2 linked regions of the Ovis aries genome follow. The protein of the gene in region 1 interacts with the protein of each later gene in a pairwise test. Links are inferred from orthologs where the notes say so. Each region holds a gene or a part of one and is shown in the gene's direction. Other genes may lie near its edges. The genes, in order: MORN3 and RSPH1.

What was found.
Region 2: the proteins of MORN3 (region 1) and RSPH1 interact in binary tests that used the Homo sapiens proteins (3 or more experiments, as listed by UniProt). The two-hybrid records come from large-scale screens. The link is inferred for Ovis aries from reciprocal best matches to the Homo sapiens genes MORN3 and RSPH1.

Annotation. Positions count from the first base shown.
Region 1 is NC_056070.1:53,626,129-53,629,939, forward strand, and holds part of MORN3 (MORN repeat-containing protein 3), read left to right. Parts: intron 1-571; coding exon 572-731; intron 732-3,811. UniProt on the Homo sapiens protein: Assembles a suppression complex (suppresome) by tethering SIRT1 and MDM2 to regulate composite modifications of p53/TP53.
Region 2 is NC_056054.1:263,452,505-263,456,869, reverse strand, and holds the start of RSPH1 (radial spoke head 1 homolog), read left to right. Parts: upstream 1-1,270; 5' UTR 1,271-1,356; coding exon 1,357-1,410; exon of another isoform or gene 1,411-1,584; intron 1,585-3,578; coding exon 3,579-3,692; intron 3,693-3,794; coding exon 3,795-3,900; intron 3,901-4,365.

The DNA of each region.
Region 1 (3,811 bases):
CAGAGGTGGCAGAGAGAGGAGGGGTAGGAGGGGGCCTTGAAGGTTATGTGGGGGATCAGGATTTTTGAGTAGACTTGGGCTGCATAAGCTAGCCCCTTCAGGTGTGATCTGTGGGGACCCCATGGTGATTCTCTGCGGTCACATGATAAGTGCTCATGTTCATTTTTCTGGGGAGAAACGCCATAGCTTTGATCTCATTGCCAGGCATCTGCAACTTTTAATAGGGTCAAATCAGAGTTGGGAAGACAGAACAAACGTGATCAGACAGGCCATGTAAAAGATCCTCCCAGCAGTCATATGGCAGATGCATGGGATGAGGGGGAGAACCGGAGAGTGGAGGAGGAAAATCAGTGAGAAGGGGCGAAATGATGGTGGGCTGAAGGAAGGCGGTAGCACAAGGGTAGCGGGAAATGGAAGGCCTGGGTGATTTTACAAAACAGGACCATCCGCTTGGATGTAGGGCTTGGGGAGGAAGGAGGGAAGAAGCCCAGGTGTTTTGGGTACCAGGGAGGATGCTGGGAGTTCCCAGTGCTGTGGGGCGCCATGAACAAGGACACCTTCGTGCTTTCAGGGCTATGGGATCCAGTTTTTCGGACCCAAGGAGTATTATGAGGGTGACTGGTGTGGCAACCAGCGCAGCGGGTGGGGCCGCATGTACTACAGCAACGGAGACATCTACGAGGGCCAGTGGCATAACGACAAGCCAGAAGGGGAGGGCATGTTGCGCCTGAGTGAGTGTCCAGCCCCGTCCCAAAGGCCTGCTGGCCACGCCCACTCGGCCACCCCGTCAAGGCACAGTTCTCCCGGGCCCTGCAAGGCAGAGCCCTGGCCACGCCCATCGGGCCACGCCCCCGCATAGCCCTGCTCGGAATGGGGGGTTAAGGTGAATGACAGGAGACAAGACCTGGTCCCTGCCCTCGGGGAGTTTATACTCTAAAAAGGGTGCCTAGCAATAAATATAAACAATTAAGACTTTGTCTTTTGGTCCATAGTAATCATAGCCCACACTTAGGCAGCCCTGAGCTCATTATAGTTAGTTCAGTCGCTCAGTCAGGTCCGACTCTTTGCGACCCTGTGAATCGCGCGGCACGCCAGGACTCCCTGTCCATCACCATCTCCCGGAGTTCACTCAGACTCACGTCCATCGAGGCAGTGATGCCATCCAGCCATCTCATCCTCTGTCGTCCCCTTCTCCTCCTGCCCCCAATCCCTCCCAGCATCAGAGTCTTTTCCAATGAGTCAACTCTTCGCATGAGGTTTCCAAAGTACTGGAGTTTCAGCTTCAGCATCATTCCCTCCAAAGAAATCCCAAGGTTGATCTCCTTCAGAATGGACTCGTTGGATCTCCTTGCAGTCCAAGGGACTCTCAAGAGTCTTCTCCAACACCACAGTTCAAATGCATCAATTCTTCGGCGCTTAGCTTTCTTCACAGTCCAACTCTCACATCCATACATGACCACTGGAAAAACTATAGCCTTGACTAGACGGACCTTTGTTGGCAAAGTAATGTCTCTGCTTTTCAATATGCTATCTAGGTTGGTCATAATTTTTCTTCCAAGGAGTAAGCGTCTTTTAATTTCATGGCTGCAGTCACCATCTGCAGTGATTTTGGAGCCCCAAAAAATAAAGTCTGACACTGTTTCCACTGTTTCCCCATCTATTTCCCATGAAGTGATGGGACCAGATGCCATGATCTTCATTTTCTGAATGTTGAGCTTTAAGCCATTGTTTTCACTCTCCTCTTTCACTTTCATCAAGAAGCTTTTAGCTCCTCTTCACTTTCTGCCCTAAGGGTGGTCTCATCTGCATATCTGAGGTTATTGATATTTCTCCCAGCAATCTTGATTCCAGCTTGTATTTCTTCCAGTCCAGCGTTTCTCATGATGTACTCTGCATATAAGTTAAATAAGCAGGGTGACAATATACAGCCTTGACGTACTCCTTTTCCTATTTGGAACCAGTCTGTTGTTCCATGTCCAGTTCTAACTGTTGCTTCCTGACCTGCATATAGGTTTCTCAAGAGGCAGGTCAGGGGGTCTGGTATTCCCATCTCTCTCAGAATTTTCCGCAGTTTATTGTGATCCACACAGTCAAAGGCTTTGGCTTTGTCAATAAAGCAGAAATAGATGTTTTTCTGGAACTCTCTTGCTTTTTCCATGATCCAGAGGATGTTGGCAATTTGATCTGTGGTTCCTCTGCCTTTTCTAAAACCAGCTTGAACATCTGGAAGTTCACAGTTCACGTATTGCTGAAGCCTGGCTTGGAGAATTTTTACTATTACTTTACTAGCGTGTGAGATGAGTGCAATTGTGCAGTAGTTTGAGCATTCTTTGGCATTGCCTTTCTTTGGGATTGGAATGAAAACTGACCTTTTCCAGTCCTGTGGCCACTGCTGAGTTTTCCAAATTTGCTGGCAGATTGAGTGCAGCACTTTCACAGCATCATCTTTCAGGATTTGAAATAGCTCAACTGGAATTCCATCACCTCCACTAGCTTTGTTTGTAGTGATGCTTTCTAAGGCCCACTTGACTTCACATTCCAGGATATCTGGCTCTAGGTGAGTGATCACACCATCGTGATTATCTGGGTCATGAAGATCTTTTCTGTACAGTTCTTCTATGTATTCTTGCCATCTCTTCTTAATATCTTCTGCTTCTGTGAAGTCCATACAATTTCTGTCCTTTATCGAGCCCATCTTTTCGTGAAATATTCCCTTGGTATCTCTAATTGTCTTGAAGAGATCTCTAGGCCTTCCCATTCTGTTGTTTTTCTCTATTTCTTTGCATTGATCGCTGAGAAAGGCTTTCTTCTCTCTCCTTGCTATTCTTTGGAACTCTGCATTCAGATGCTTATGTCTTTCCTTTCTCCTTTGCTTTTCACTTCTCTTCTTCTCACAGCTATTTGTAAGGCCTCCTCAGACAGCCATTTTGCTTTTTTGCATTTCTTTTCCATGGGGATGGTCTTGATCCCTGTCTCCTGTACAATGTCACAAACCTCCGTCCATAGTTCATCAGGCACTCTATCAGATCTAGTCCCTTAAATCTATTTCTCACTTCCATTGTATAATCATAAGGGATTTGATTTAGGTCATACCTGAATGGTCTAGTGGTTTTCCCTACTTTCTTCAATTTAAATCTGAATTTGGCAATAAAGAGTTCATGATCTGAGCCACAGTCAGCTCCTGGTCTTGTTTTTGTTGACTGTATAGAGCCTCTCCATCTTTGGCTGCAAAGAATATAATCAATCTGATTTCGGTGTTGACCATTTGGTGATGTCCATGTGTAGAGTCTTCTCTTGTGTTGTTGGAAGAGGGTGTTTGCTATGACCAGTGCATTTTCTTGGCAAAACTCTATTAGCCTTTGCCCTGCTTCATGCCGTACCCCAAGGCCAAATTTGCCTGTTACTCCAGGTGTTTCTTGACTTCCTACTTTTGCATTCCAGTCCCCTATAATGAAAAAGACATCTTTTTTGGGTGTTAGTTCTAAAAGGTCTTGTAGGTCTTCATAGAACTATTCAACTTCAGCTTCTTCAGCATTACTGGTTGGGGCATAGACTTGGATTACTGTGATATTGAATGGTTTGCCTTGGAAACGAACAGAGATCATTCTGTCGTTTTTGAGATTGCATCCAAGTACTGCATTTCGGACTCTTTTGTTGACCATGATGGCTACTCCATTTCTTCTAAGGGATTCCTGCCCGCAGTAGTAGATATAATGGTCATCTGAGTTAAATTCACCCATTCCAGTCCATTTTAGTTTGCTGATTCCTAGAATGTTGACGTTCACTCTTGCCATCTCCTGTTTGACCACTT
Region 2 (4,365 bases), on another chromosome or scaffold:
TTGGAGCATTTTCTGGAAGTGGTTCCTTAGCCAGTCTTTGAAGAATGGCTCTGGCTATAGGCAAGGCCATCAGAAGGAAGACTTCCAGGGGAAGCATCTGGCACAGGCAAAGGCACAGAGGAGGGGACGTGAAGGATGTACTGGGGACAGTGCTCACGGTTTGCTTTATTTATTTATTTATTATTTTTTTTTTTCACGGTTTGCTTTATCTGAATCATGTAACAAGTATAGGAAGGTGTTGATGGACCAGAAGGCTGAGAGGATGACTTGGGATTTGAATATGGAGATAGTGAATACAGCGGTCTGCATGCAGTCTGGTCTGCATGTGGGTTTCCGAGTAGAGGAGGAGGGTGAAGTGGTTAAGAGTGCCTAAGTCTGGAGACAAACAGGCTGAACCAGAGCCTATTGCCAGAGTTAACAAGGGGAGGAAGAAGGCCTGGATCAGGGTGGTGACAAGAGGAACTGGGAAGGAGATCATGAGGGGTCTTGGGCAGACCGAGTGTCAGATAACTGGAGGGAAGCTTAAGAGAGGCCCATTTAAGAGTGGGAATGAGTGTGAATGTGCGTGCGTGTGTGTGAGGGAGCAAGCTCCACTGGGAACTCCCAGGAGACTGGTCTCACATCTGGGATGGAGGAGGGCTGTCAAACCTGACTGGCATCAGGGTAGACTTGTATCTGCTAATGAGTTGGAGCTGACTCCTTGAGTCAGGAGAAGATGCTTACAAACACAAGAAAAGATAGCAAAGAATGCATCTCTGTGGACCGCCAACATGGAAGGGTCGGAAGAGCCCAGAAAGGTAATGAGGGGCAGGCAGGGCCTATGGAGAGACCCAAGGAACCAAGGGCCAGGGCTGAGAAGAGTCAGTGTCCACCTCTAGGAGGGGCAAGGCCCTTTCCAGAGCTGGCCTTATGAGCTTCCTCCACCCCTTCTAGTTTCAGCATCACCCAGCCGCTGGTTAAAGGGGGTGTCCTGGTAAGAGAGCAGGTGGGTACCCATTACGCCTCAGGCCCCGCCCCCCCTCCTCCTTGGGTGACGATTGGCCGAGGCTCTCCTTACGTTGTTATGACAGCACCTGAAGGCAGGCATTGGCTCCTTCCCAAGCTGTCCGGTCCCAGGCCCCACCCCTCTCTCTTCCGGGAAGGCAACCGGCGGTTGGCGGTTGCGTCCCATTGCTATGACAGCACCCGAACCTTAACGGTTACTCCTCCCCTGCCTCCCAGCTTCTCGGCCAGGGCTGGGAGGGAGAGAGCCTGGCCGTGTCTCCATGGCGACGACGGACGCGGTGGTGCAGGCAGCTGGTACCTACCGACTAGAAAGGCGCAGGCGGCAGCGGGCATCCAGACTGGGGCGAAGCCATGTCGGACCTGGGCTCGGAGGAGTTGGAAGAGGAGGGAGAGAATGATCTTGGGGTGAGAGTTCCGGGTAAGGGAGGAGCTCCCAGGGTTGCGTGGACCCTTGGAAACAGGGTTCAGAGAGTGGGGCGGCCTGGAGGCCCGCCACAGTCCCTCCGGGAGGCCCAGCCAAGGACAAGGACCATGCTGGCCACAGCGGGCGCTGCGTCCTGTAAGTTGGCTCTGAAAGGTGAAACGTTATGACGTCTGCTTACCACATCCCTTCTCGCTCCCTCCTCCACCATTCCTCCTCCCGTTAAAGGCAAAGATTTCCAAATAGAAGGCTTTGAAAGCGTCCTGCTGTTACCCTCCATGGAGGCAGTTTCCTTGAATGGCTGGTCATCCCAAGCTGGACTCTTCCGACCCTTCCACTATGCCCTCTTCTCCTTCTGCCCTCAATCTTTCCCATCATCAAGGACTTTTCCAATGCTGTTCACATCAGATGACCAAAATCCTGAAGTTTCAACTTCAGCATCAGTCCTTCCAATGAATATTCAGGATTGATTTCCCTTAAGATTGACTGGTTTGATCTTCTTGTTGTCCAAGGGACTGAGAAAGGTGCCAACCTTGCGGCTCGTTTTGGGTATAATTAGGAGTCTCTGGGGAAGGAAGGGGAGTCTTTTATACATTTTGATTTAGACTAACCCTGAAACAAATTTGTAAGGTTATAAAAGTTTGCCTTATATTCTGAGCATGAATTTCTGAGCCAAACAGTGCTAGGAAAGCACAAAAACTGCAAAAACGTTTTTTTCCTGAAGCCCTTGATTTAATGTATCTGCTGCTGCTGCTGCTGCTAAGTCACTTCAGTTGTGTCTGACTCTGTGTGACCCCATGGATGGCAGCTCCCCCGCCCCTGGGATTCTCCAGGCAAGAGCACTGGAGTGGGTTGCCATTTCCTTCTCCAATGCATGAAAGTGAAAAGTGAAAGTGAAGTCGCTCAGTTGTGTCTGACCCTCCGCGACCCCATGGACTGCAGCCTACCAGGCTCCTCCGTCCATGGGATTTTCCAGGCAAGAGTACTGGAGCGGGATGCCAATGTGTCTGAATTTGTGCTAATGTCTATCCAGATCCAAGTCCAGGTCAGATCATGCTCTGTGCCCTTGCCATTTCATTGTTTATTATTTACATGCTGCTGTTGCTGCTGTCGCTTCAGTCGTGTCCGACTTTGTGTGACCCCATAGACAGCAGCCCACCAGGCTTCTCTGTCCCTGGGATTCTCCAGGCAAGAACACTGGAGTGGGTTGCCATTTCCTTCTCCAATACACCCATGTAATTAGGTGCTTGAGAAACATGTCTTTTATGAAGGATAGAGACAATAGGGAAATGAGACACTAGTATTGTTTTTTATTGATTTACTTTAAAGATGTGTGTGTGTGTGTATGTGTGTGTTACTTGCTCAATTGTGTCCAATTCTTTGCAACCTCATGGACTATAGCTCTCCAGGTTCCTTTGTCCATGGAATTCTCCAGGCAAGAATACTGGAGTGGGTTGCTATTCTCTTCTCCAGAGCATCTTCCCAACTCAGGGGTCGAACCCAGGTCTCCTGCATTGCAGGCAGATTCTTTACCATCTGAGTCACCAGGGAAGCCCACTATAAAGGTAGATATGTAATTATTTTCCTATTGGGTTATGAGTGTTTGAACTTTAAGTCTCTTGAGTTTAAAAATAAGTTAAACTGAATTGAGTTTGGAAACTCAAGCTGACCATTGAGCCTGGTTCATTCCTCAGCTCCCCCTGTTCCTCTCCTGACATCAGAGCTTTCCTCAAGGTCAAAGCTGTCTTCAGGCCATGGACACCCAGGGATGATTTGTATTTTAAATTATGGATTATTGGAGGAAGGTGGGTTCAGGACCTGCTCCACCTGCAAATGCTATTAATACTTCCAACATGTCCTTGTAAAGGACACAACTTGGACTATCTTGCATTTTCCCCCAAGTGGTTGGTTTTGTTTACAGTGTAAAGGATTATCATAATAAAGTGGAGGGAAAGAGTGAAAGTCCGCCATGAACAGGTACCAGCTGTGTGAGCTTGGACTGATGCTCCGTGTCACCCAGGCCTGGAGCCTACCTCACCTGTAAGACAAGGTCAAGGGTTGGGAGAATTCAGTGGAATGCTGTTGAATTTATGAAATGCTTAGCACATGGTTAATGCTTAATAAAGAGTAGCTGTGATTATCTTCTGTCCAGGAGTATGAAGGGGAACGGAATGAGGCAGGTGAACGGCACGGACACGGAAAAGCGAGACTGCCCAATGGGGACGTATATGAAGGGAGCTATGAGCATGGTAAAAGACATGGCCAGGTCAGAATCGGTGACTTGAATGGGTGGTTTTCCCGATTTAATGCTCTATTAGCAATCATTAAATTCAGGAGTGATATAAATTATATCATCACTGTGTTTCAGGGGATCTACAAATTTAAAAATGGTGCTCGGTACGTCGGAGAATATGTTAGAAACAAAAAGCACGGCCAAGGCACGTTCATCTACCCAGATGGATCGAGATATGAAGGTGAAGTGTTACCACGAAGCAAACCTTCTTGCTGGGGGGGTAGGGAAGCTGTGGGGTGAGGGTAGACCCGGGGTAGTAGGGTGGACCCAGACTGTTGGTGCTTGGTGGTTTTCTTCTCCTTGGAGTTGTTTTTTTAGATGATGATTCTTTCCCTGAGGGCTTCTGCTCTGGGAGGTGTTCTTACTCTGCCGTAGCTGTAACCTCTGTGTTACATGGCAGAGTTACGTCTCAGGAAGATTCTTGCCCCCTAACATGAACCTCACTGTTGCTCCCCCCACCACTGTCACCTGCGTGATGACAAGTGAAAAGTGAAAGTGAAGTCACTCAGTTGCGTCCAACTTTTTGCGACTCCATGGACTGTAGCCTACCAGGCTCCTCCGTCCGTGGGATTTTCCAGGCAAGGGTACTGGAGTGGGTTGCCACTTCCTTCTCCAGGGGATCTTCCCCATCCAGGGGTTGAAACCG